Linked DNA regions of Yarrowia lipolytica. The protein of the gene in region 2 purifies or fractionates together with the protein of the main gene of each other region. This does not show direct contact. Links are inferred from orthologs where the notes say so. Each region holds a gene or a part of one and is shown on either strand. Other genes may lie near its edges. The genes, in order: YALI1_D23274g and YALI1_A09626g.

Evidence for each region.
Region 1: the proteins of YALI1_A09626g (region 2) and YALI1_D23274g purify together in Saccharomyces cerevisiae (affinity purification with mass spectrometry; 3 studies listed by BioGRID, with this or other methods). This does not show direct contact. The link is inferred for Yarrowia lipolytica from reciprocal best matches to the Saccharomyces cerevisiae genes MPE1 and RNA14.

The regions. Positions count from the first base shown.
Region 1 is NC_090773.1:2,325,386-2,330,548, reverse strand, and holds YALI1_D23274g (uncharacterized protein), read right to left. Parts: upstream 3,121-5,163; coding exon 700-3,120; downstream 1-699. Other genes in the region: YALI1_D23265g (uncharacterized protein), read left to right, coding at 4,032-4,949; YALI1_D23237g (uncharacterized protein), read right to left, coding at 5,018-5,163. UniProt on the Saccharomyces cerevisiae protein: Component of the cleavage factor IA (CFIA) complex, which is involved in the endonucleolytic cleavage during polyadenylation-dependent pre-mRNA 3'-end formation and cooperates with the cleavage factor NAB4/CFIB and the cleavage and polyadenylation factor (CPF) complex.
Region 2 is NC_090770.1:960,673-964,796, forward strand, and holds YALI1_A09626g (uncharacterized protein), read right to left. Parts: upstream 1,943-4,124; coding exon 530-1,942; downstream 1-529. Other genes in the region: YALI1_A09593g (uncharacterized protein), read left to right, coding at 1-2; YALI1_A09638g (uncharacterized protein), read left to right, coding at 3,145-3,177, 3,228-3,269, 3,750-4,124. UniProt on the Saccharomyces cerevisiae protein: Component of the cleavage and polyadenylation factor (CPF) complex, which plays a key role in polyadenylation-dependent pre-mRNA 3'-end formation and cooperates with cleavage factors including the CFIA complex and NAB4/CFIB.

The DNA.
Region 1 (5,163 bases), on a different chromosome or scaffold from region 2:
TAATCGAATCTCCTCAGCAAGAAGATTCGATTTCCTTCTTTTTCTGACCCTTTAGAACCCCCAAACCCCCAGATGTCGCCGTCCCAAATCCCCGAAATTCGCTCAAAGTTTTTCATATAACTCAAGGTTGACAGAGAGCCACCGGCAATGTGTGCTTTTTATATCCCATACATGCCGGAAATGAAGCGATGCATGAGATAGCGACTGGAAACGCCGCCCGGTGCGTCGATAGCTCCGCTAAACGTCGGAGACGGCTCTTGTGCCGAAAAGACACACATTTACACTCTCTTTTGGATCACGGCCAAAACTGACTCCAAAAGAGACGGCTTCTTTTACACCCTGAAGGGCTAAAGAGCGCGTGTTAAACACTCACAGCAGCAACCTTCACCGGCCGCGGTTCGTGTGTCTTACAAAGTCTTCGCTGTCTTACGGGATGGCGTGGTAGATTGCTTTAAGGAGAAATGTGGCGATGCTGACTGAGGACTATTGTCTTAGTTGCAATTGATGCCACATTAAACTACTGTTATCCATCAATATGGTACTTACTCTACAATACATTGACAATTATATGCCTACCCCTCGCTCCCTCATACAACCATATAACAATCCAGACATTGTTTGCTGAAGCACAAGACTCGAGTTCTTCAGTCCCCCTCCTTTTGCTCTTTGTGGGTCCTTGTGCTCACCAGCATCCACCCGCTAAAGAAGTCCGTCCGGAATTCTCACGTCCCTAAACAAATCCACCAGCCGCTGAGGATCAAACGTAGCCTCTCCATAGTCAGAAGAGTTGGGAAGCTGCCTTAGCAAAGCATCAATCTTCTGAGGCAGGTTGAAAGGTTCCATCTTGTCGCCCTGGTCGTTTCCGTGAGAGGTTCGGCGAGCTCTCTTGCTGGGCCGCTCCGAGTCAGAATCTTCGTCGGTTCGCGACTTGGGCTTTTGCAGCATGTCGCATTGTCGAATGACATCAAAGTCCGAGGTAGCGAACCGGTCGGCAATGATGGTGATGGGCGACGTGTCGGGGTTGAGCTGCCGCAGACGGTCCTGCAGCTTGACCACACTGGTGATCTCGCCAAAGTCAGACTCAAACTTGATCATCGACTTGATGAGCGAAGCAGCGTCCGACGGACCTAGAAGAGGAATGGTTTTCTCAAACAGAGCCCGTGCGTTGGTGTCGTCGTGCAGAGAAATGAGAAAGTCGAGATAATGCTGAACGTAGGCTGCATTGGAACCGCAGTACTTGAGACCAAGCTCAAACACGTTGGTGGCAACCGTGGGGTTCTTGTTGTGGTGAAACTCCATCAGCGCAGACGCGACGTAAATGTGGTAGGTGGCAAACCCAGTGTTTCTGGCCTTTTTGAACACCATTCGGCCTGGCTTGATACCCTCAAACCGTTTCACGGCCTTCATGCACACCGAGTACGCAATGGAGATCTGGGTGTTGAGCTTGATGATCTCAGCAGTAGGCTCGGCCTCCGGATCGCCCTGAGCTTCAATTAGAGCCTGTCTCTCCTTGCCCAGAGACTCAATATGCTCATCGTAAATGGTTCGCATCTTTTCAGCATCGGCTTCCCGCTCGTAGTACTCGGCGAGCCGGAAAGCCAGCAGCGATGAGTTGGGGTTGAGAGAGAGGCCATCCTTGAGAAACTGCAGAGCCTCGGTCTTGAGCAGAGGGTCGTCAAAACAGTACTCAGCAGCCAGAAACCAAATCTCGGGCACAAACTGCAAGCTCATAACGGCCTGTTTGAGGCAGTACAGCAGCCGCTTGTTGGTTTCGGCCTTGTTGTCGGTACCCAGAGGGTTGCTCTTCTCCCAGTCGATCCATTTCTTCCAAGCTCGCACCTGGAACTCGTCTCTGGGCCCGGACTTGGGCACACTGCTTCGGTCCAGACCCCGCATCAGGTTCTCCAGCACCGTCTGGCACTGTCGGGCGTTTTGGCAGCTGCCAGACTTTTCATTGATGAACTTTCGAGCTGTGGCCTTGTTGAGCGAGTACTCAAAGTTGGTGTAGGCGGTCCACAGAATCGACAGGTTGTTGAGCGGGATGCCAATCGCCTTTCGGTATATTTTGCGCGTGAGGTCATTCTTCTGCTGCTCCTCCCAGGTAGTTGTAGCCGGCTTGGATTTGATGAAGTCCAGGTACTCAAACCACACATTGCCACTCTCTCGATCAATGCCGACATGGTCAAGGTAAAACTCAAAGGCCTTGATGATGTTTGTTCGGGCTTCAGTGATTTTGTCCGACTCGGAAGACAGCACGTTGACTCGCCGCACATAAGTCAGGTAGATGTTCCACAGCTTGAGGTTGGGCAGGCGGGTCAGACACCGCCCAAACAGCTGCTCCAGGCGCTTGAACTCGCCATTGTCCATTTCCAGCGTGATGTACTCGATCCAAATCTCGGCCGACAGCGGGTACAGAGCCAGAAACCGCTCGTAAATGTCCCGCGACTCGTCCAGCTTCTCCTTGCGCACAATCGTCGAAATCAGATCCAGCCACGCAGGCATGTCTCGGGGGTTGGCGGCGATGCGGTCCTCAAGAATGCCGATTGTGTCTGTGGCCAGTCGTTTTCGCTTGTTGTTATCTGGGCCGCTGTTGTTGTTGTTGCTGGTGGAGCTGGCTCCTCCTCCCACTTGGTTGGGGTCGCTGGGAGGGGGGATGGTAGTGCTTGCAGCCAAAGAACTGATAGCTCCATCAGGGATTCCGGTTCCTCCAACCGACCCTCCTCCAGCCGAGTCCTCCTCCACAGGCTCACTCACCGCTGCAGGCACATAGTCGTCATCTTCCGCGACTTCTTCAGACGAGTTCTCAGGCTTGGGTTCTTCCCTTTTCTCATCATCCCTCTGCTCCCCATCCTTGGGCTCGTCTAACACTCCTCCATCGCTCTTTGTGTCTGGTCCATCCTCCACCTTGTCCTCCTTGTCAATCGATTCAGGTTCGTCGCCCTGGTGCACCAGGGTCCCCGACTCGACGTTTGCGTTTGTATCTTCACCACTTTCTTCATTATGTGCCGGGTCCTTGGCAGCAGCCTCGGCCTCGAGCGCCAGCGGCTCGCCAGTGTTCATATCCGTCTCCATGTCGCCCGGCTTGAACGCCACGGCCGTAGGATCGTAATCGTCAGACATGTTGAGGAGTGACAGGGTCTGAAAAGTGCTGCAAGTAGTGTATGCGGATTTAGGTTGGTGGTTGTGTGTGGCGGCGGTGAAAAATGGGAGGTGGCATTAACGAGCGTTTGCTGGTGGTATAAGGCTGATTAGGGGCCATGGATTCTGTTTTTGGGGCTATTAGAATACAACTGGCACTTTCAGCTAATCAATCGGATAACTATAGACCGAGTTGGATCGAGTCTCTGGAACGTTGCTATCCCTTGTAAACACCTAACAAACCCCCCAAAGTTAGTTGAAACTCCCAAGTAATAGCTGCGACTCCAGAACCCCTTCGATCGGGGACTTTCGGTGAGTGCTGGAAGGTGAAAAAGCATCCCCTCCATTTATGAGAGCTGCCTATGCGTATGAGAAAAAAATGGTTTTAATAAGTGTCATTTCAACCAGTTAAATCGCATATTTGAACAAGTACCATCTCCACTGCCCTCCATGGGGAGCCCGCCCCCCGCATCTCCCCAGTCACGGTCTCCATTGCACTAGAAGCGACCAACCAGTCTTCTAAAACACTACTTTATGCACAAACCCTTGCCACCACGTCCCACTTATCCGTTCTTCCGAAGATATTTATTAATTTCATTATTCTGCCCCACCCCGAATCGAACACACGCATCCACCCACCCACCTCCTACGATATATGAAAAGTAGTACATGCTGTAGTCTTGACGGAGTCGACAGACCAGCGATAGACACAGATACAACCAGCTGACCATCGTCGGAACAGCTCCCTCGTTATTGATTCACCTCTTCATCCAACACAAACGCGCCTACACACTCACAAACCGAGTGTACTGTACTCACAAACTGGGTGATATGCTCATAACCTCTTAGAAAGAACAGTCTACAACCGCATTCTCATTCTCTCCCCGAAAATCATGTTCCGTCTGCACGTCTGGGGCCCCGTGTCCACCTCCCTGACCTTTTCCGCCCCCTGTCTCGCCACCATCTGGTACATGCAGCTATGTGATATCGACTTCACGGTAGTGCAGTCGTCCAATGAAGGTCTGGCGGGCGAGCTGCCGTGTCTGGAGACGTCGGAGAAAAAGATCGGAGGCGCCGAGTCCATCATTCGATACCTCAAGTCGCTGGGACACAACCTCGACGCCGATCTGACCTCGGACGAACAAATCAAAAACACAGCTCTCCTGGCCTACATGAGCAGTCTGCAGACAATCACAGAGTACTGTCTGTTTGTGGACGAAGAGGCGTACCAGAAGGTGACCCGGCCCATGTTCAACGAGTTCATGCCTTTCCTAATGCAATACAATGTCAGTGTACGACTTCGAGAACAGGCCAAGGACCGATGCTGTGCCGCTGGAATCGACACGGCGACGCCCTCGTGGGCTGTTTCGGCAACCAAGATGGCGTCCGAGTCTCTCACCAACCCCAAGCCCAGCATGGGTAAGCTCTACGATCAGTCTGTTGAGCGTGAAAAGCAGAAAGACGCCTCCAAGGCCGTTTCCAAGACGGTTTTCCGACTGCTCAACTCGGCCACAGAAATTTACACCGACATGATGGATACTGCCACAGCAAATGTCGCCAAAGGAAGTCTGTTCAGCACGGTTTCCACGTCAGATGTGTTTCTGTGTGCTCATCTGCAGCTTCAAATGCTGCCTGCGCTGCCTGACTGTGCTGTGGCCGGGTTGCTGAAGAGCAAGTTTCCCGCTCTGTTGCAGTACGAGGACGTGTTCGTTGAGAAGATTGGCAACAAGGACCTCAAGGTGGAGGGACCGCTAGGAAAGGATGCTCCTTTATGGATTTACCATTTGAAGCAGATTTTGGGGTGGTATTAATCAGCATAGTGCATCTACGTGAAGTACGTACTTCTAGATCCACTCAGTACATAATGTATATAATGAAGTTACACGGACAACTTCTGACCCTCTCCGAGCCTCCAGTAGCAGCACAGAAATGCCACTGCAAATGCTCCTCCTCCAGCCGACAGACCTACAAAGGGCCAGATAAGATATGGATCTCTCAGAGCCGGGGTGATACCTGTGGCGATGG
Region 2 (4,124 bases):
AAACAAGTTATAGAAGTATTATAGATTATAGACAACCCCGAGTGAGGGATTTTTGACAATTGATTGACTTGTAGTTCGGAGAAGCTAAGAAGTACCGGTGCACTGCAATTGTATTCATAGTTATACGAGTACATACTGTATGGTACAGTTACAAGAACGTACCGATGGTGTATAGGACGGGTATGTATTCGTATCGTATGTCAACTGTATACGAAATATCCGCATTACGAGGTCATTGGGTCGTATGAACTCCTGACACACCGACGCGGGTATCACTGTAGGAGGCATCCCATTTGACGTACATACTAAGCCAACTGGCTCCCTAGTGTTCACTAGGAAATACGCACAACAAACACGCACACGATTATATTATATTTATATCTCGGCCACAGGCCACCTCCCTTGCCCACCAACATCGCAATCCACACATAATTGATACACACTACAACAAGTAAGGGTTCCTTGACTAGAATAACCCAAAACTCCATATAAATTACATGCAATATACAAAACAATGCTGTTTTGAAGATCATCGACGGTCATCGTATCTTCTCTTCTGGTTCATCTGCTGTCGTCTCGCACCCTTGTCCATGAACTGGCCATTGGTGACTCCATTGGGGTTAGCCACAAACGTCTGGCCGCCAGAAGCACCACCCATGGGCATATTGGGCATTGGTGGCACAGGCATACCCATCTTTCGCATCTGCTCCATCTGCTTCATGAAGAATGGCATCATCTGTGGAGGGATGAAAGGCATCTGGGGCATTCCTGCGGGTCCTGTTGGTGCATTGGGAGGAGCCGAGGAACCAGCCTGGGAAACAGCAGAACCATCCTCGGTTTTGGTTCGCTTTGCATCGGGCTCTTCCTTCTTTTGCTCTTTCTTAATATGCTCTTTCACTCTCTTCTCCATTTCCTTGTCGGGGTGAAGCTGGTCCAACAGAATTTCCTCAGCACCACACTTGGGGCAAACAAAGTCACCATCCAACAGTGCCTGTTGAATGGCATCTTCTGAGTACGTGGTCTTGCAGCAAGGAGTTGTGACCGGGTGGTCAAACAGTTTCTTGCTTAGAGGGCATACCAGTTCGGGATCGATATCAGCCTTTCGTTTAGCCTTGGTATCTTCAACTGCATGTCGAGCACGAGCCTTTTGCTTTTCCCATGACTTCTGATCTGCTACCTGCACCACATATTCGCCATCCTCATTGATCAAGACAGCAGACTTACCATCAAGATCGTCCTCGTTGAGGTTGGGCTTAGCAATAGTCTTGAGAAATGACTTGGGAATACCGGTGGTTCGCCGCATTCGCATTCCCTCCCAGTTGGGATCGTTGTTGGTGGGGCAGTTCCAAATGAAATGGTCCTTCTTACCGCACTTATGGCACATGTATCCTTCCGGCGGAGTATCTCCATACTGGGCCTGAGCAGCTGCTGCCTGGGGGTTGTTGGAGTTGGCAGAAAGAGGCTTTCCAGAAGAAGAGGGTCGGTTGTAGACAGGGGTTTGGTAGGCCATTTGCTTCTGTGTTTCCTTCCACTGTTCTCCCTGAGCAGCAAACATAGCATTGATGAGATCATCTTCGGCTCCTCCAGTGCCAGTAGATCCTGGTGTTGCTGATGTTGGTTGCACTACTTCTTGATCGTCTCGTCTGTAGCGTGTGACTGGAGGCGCTCCGTTGACGTACCTAGCGGCCTCGCCCTTGCCTGGTCGAGAGGGCAGTCGTCGTGCCAGTACGGAAGAAGATCTGGCAATCAGCTCGTTGTCGTCTCTGTATTCATCCTTCGTATCGGGATTGACAATAGCTAGATCAAACTGATCCGCAGATTTGTCCAGCTTGTTAGAAGTGATAATTTCACGCTTCAGATCAAACACAGAGATGGATGTGCCGTCAAATACGACCTTGGACGGCTCCTTCTGCGACTTGAATTTGTAGTATACAAATGACATGCTGCGATGGAGAGGTAATAAATTGATTAGTAGTTGTGTTGGATGACTGGTGTGGTGTGCACTTCTTCAAGCTCTCTAAAAGTATAATGAAAAGTGTCGTTGATTATGTAACACTGCAGGTGGCGTAAATACAGGTTTTAAGGCATCACAGTGTTTTTGACATTCGAGCCAGTACATGTACCGAAGTTCAAACAACAAGTACTAGGTGAGGCTTTAAGAGCTTTGGGCTTTAGGATGTTGAAGAGCTACGATATGGCACCTCATCGGTATACTACATAATCTGTTACCATGGCTCCTATCGCTCGATACGAAGTTCTTCTTATCGTTGTGCCACAGTACTTGAACGTACAGTTATTTATTATGCCGACGTTTACGACAGGGTAACCCGTACCCAAACCAAATTTATGGGATAAATGATTGTGCTATTATAACGAAATTTGTAGAATAATTCCGAATTACCCCTTCAGTGACCTCTCTGGGCACGCCCTTAGCTTACAATCCCATGAAGATGGCACCGATATTAAGAACACTAACATATTAGTCATCCCATACCACGTGCAGTCCATTCATGCACGCGAAGTACAGTATTTAGTAGCAACTTTGGTACACTTGTAGCTATCGTACAACTATCGCACAGTACAAGTATAAAAAACCAAAAAAAAGTACAAGTTATTGAAGATCATTTTGTTCTTGTATTGTACAATACATACTGTATAGCAGCAGCATTAAGTGGGACGTCCCAGAGGCTTGGACAAGAGCCATTCTACACTGTACTTATAAGTACGAGTATAGTATGTAGTATGTACTTGTACAGTATGTATGTACTTCTACTTGTACGAGTACAGTAATTGGAACGTGGTCTAAAGCAGCGGTCGCATAATTTTTCTGTCTTTTAGCACGGTGGTCATGAAGATAATGCAGATTTTGCCACTTCTACAGAGAATCTCACAGCCTGACATACATCGCCCCTGAGACTACAAAATAGGTATCGTACAGTATGTCCTGTGCACGCGTACAAGTACAGTACTGTACTTGCAAGAGTTGTGTTTGTCCATCACGTGACTCACATACCGGAAACGTAACCCTAACCCAAACACGGACACGTAGGCTATCGTGTGGGATGCATAAAAAAACACTGTTCCCACAAATTCGTTGATACTGAACCGGCTCTTTGGTGTTCACCGAAAACAACAACAACAACAATGGACGCTATCACATCTATGGGATCCAGCTCAGTAAGTATGAGACCCCTGCGTTTTCGCATCCCAACTTTTACTAACTACAGCTGTCTGGCCTGTCTGAACGGTTCAACCTCGAGCGACTAAGAGTGAGTATCATCAAGGAGATGGGCATGGTGAAATTAATACGAGACTATCGCGAAGTCTCAAAAAGAGATGGTATTGAGAATAAACGGAAGCGTTATTGATGTACGTTCAATGCTGTTGAAATTTGTCTCACAACGCGACCGTAATCCACCGTGATGAGGCTTGCCCAAATCTGTGTGGACTGTGAGACGAAGATGGTCATCCCGTGCTCGACTCTTTGTTGTAAGCAGAATGTGACGCACTTAAGCATATGGCGCTAAACCTGAGAATCCTCAGTGACGTGAAGAAGTCTAGAGGGTGCGCGACTGTGAGCGACCATCGAACACGTCCTTGAGCCAGCGCGATGATAGCGACCCCTACGTGTCTCACGTTATTGAAAACATTGGTGTGCCTCTAGTACTCTGAGGTACCATCACCCGCGAGCATATGGAGGCGAAGGGAATTCTCTGGATCTGCGCTTTCTGAGCTTTGGACTAACACAGACTGAGGGCGCGAATCTCCAGAACCGATTTGCCAATCTCAAGTCCCCCACCGACTTCTTCGATTTCCGACGAATTTCCAAGCCCCCGACCTGGGGCGAAGCTCAAGCTCGAATCAACTTCAACCTGGGATACTTCAGCACCAACTATGCCATCATTTTCGGTCTCCTTTCTCTCTATTCTCTCCTCACCAACTGGCTGCTGCTGTTTGTTATCGGTTTTGTTTTCCTTGGTCTGTACGGAATTTCGTTTCTTGGAGGATCTGACCTCAACCTTGGCTTCACGACTCTTACTTCCTCCCAGCTTTACACTGGTCTCATGATTGTCGCCATTCCCCTTGGATTCTTCGCCTCTCCTATCAGCACTGTGCTTTGGATT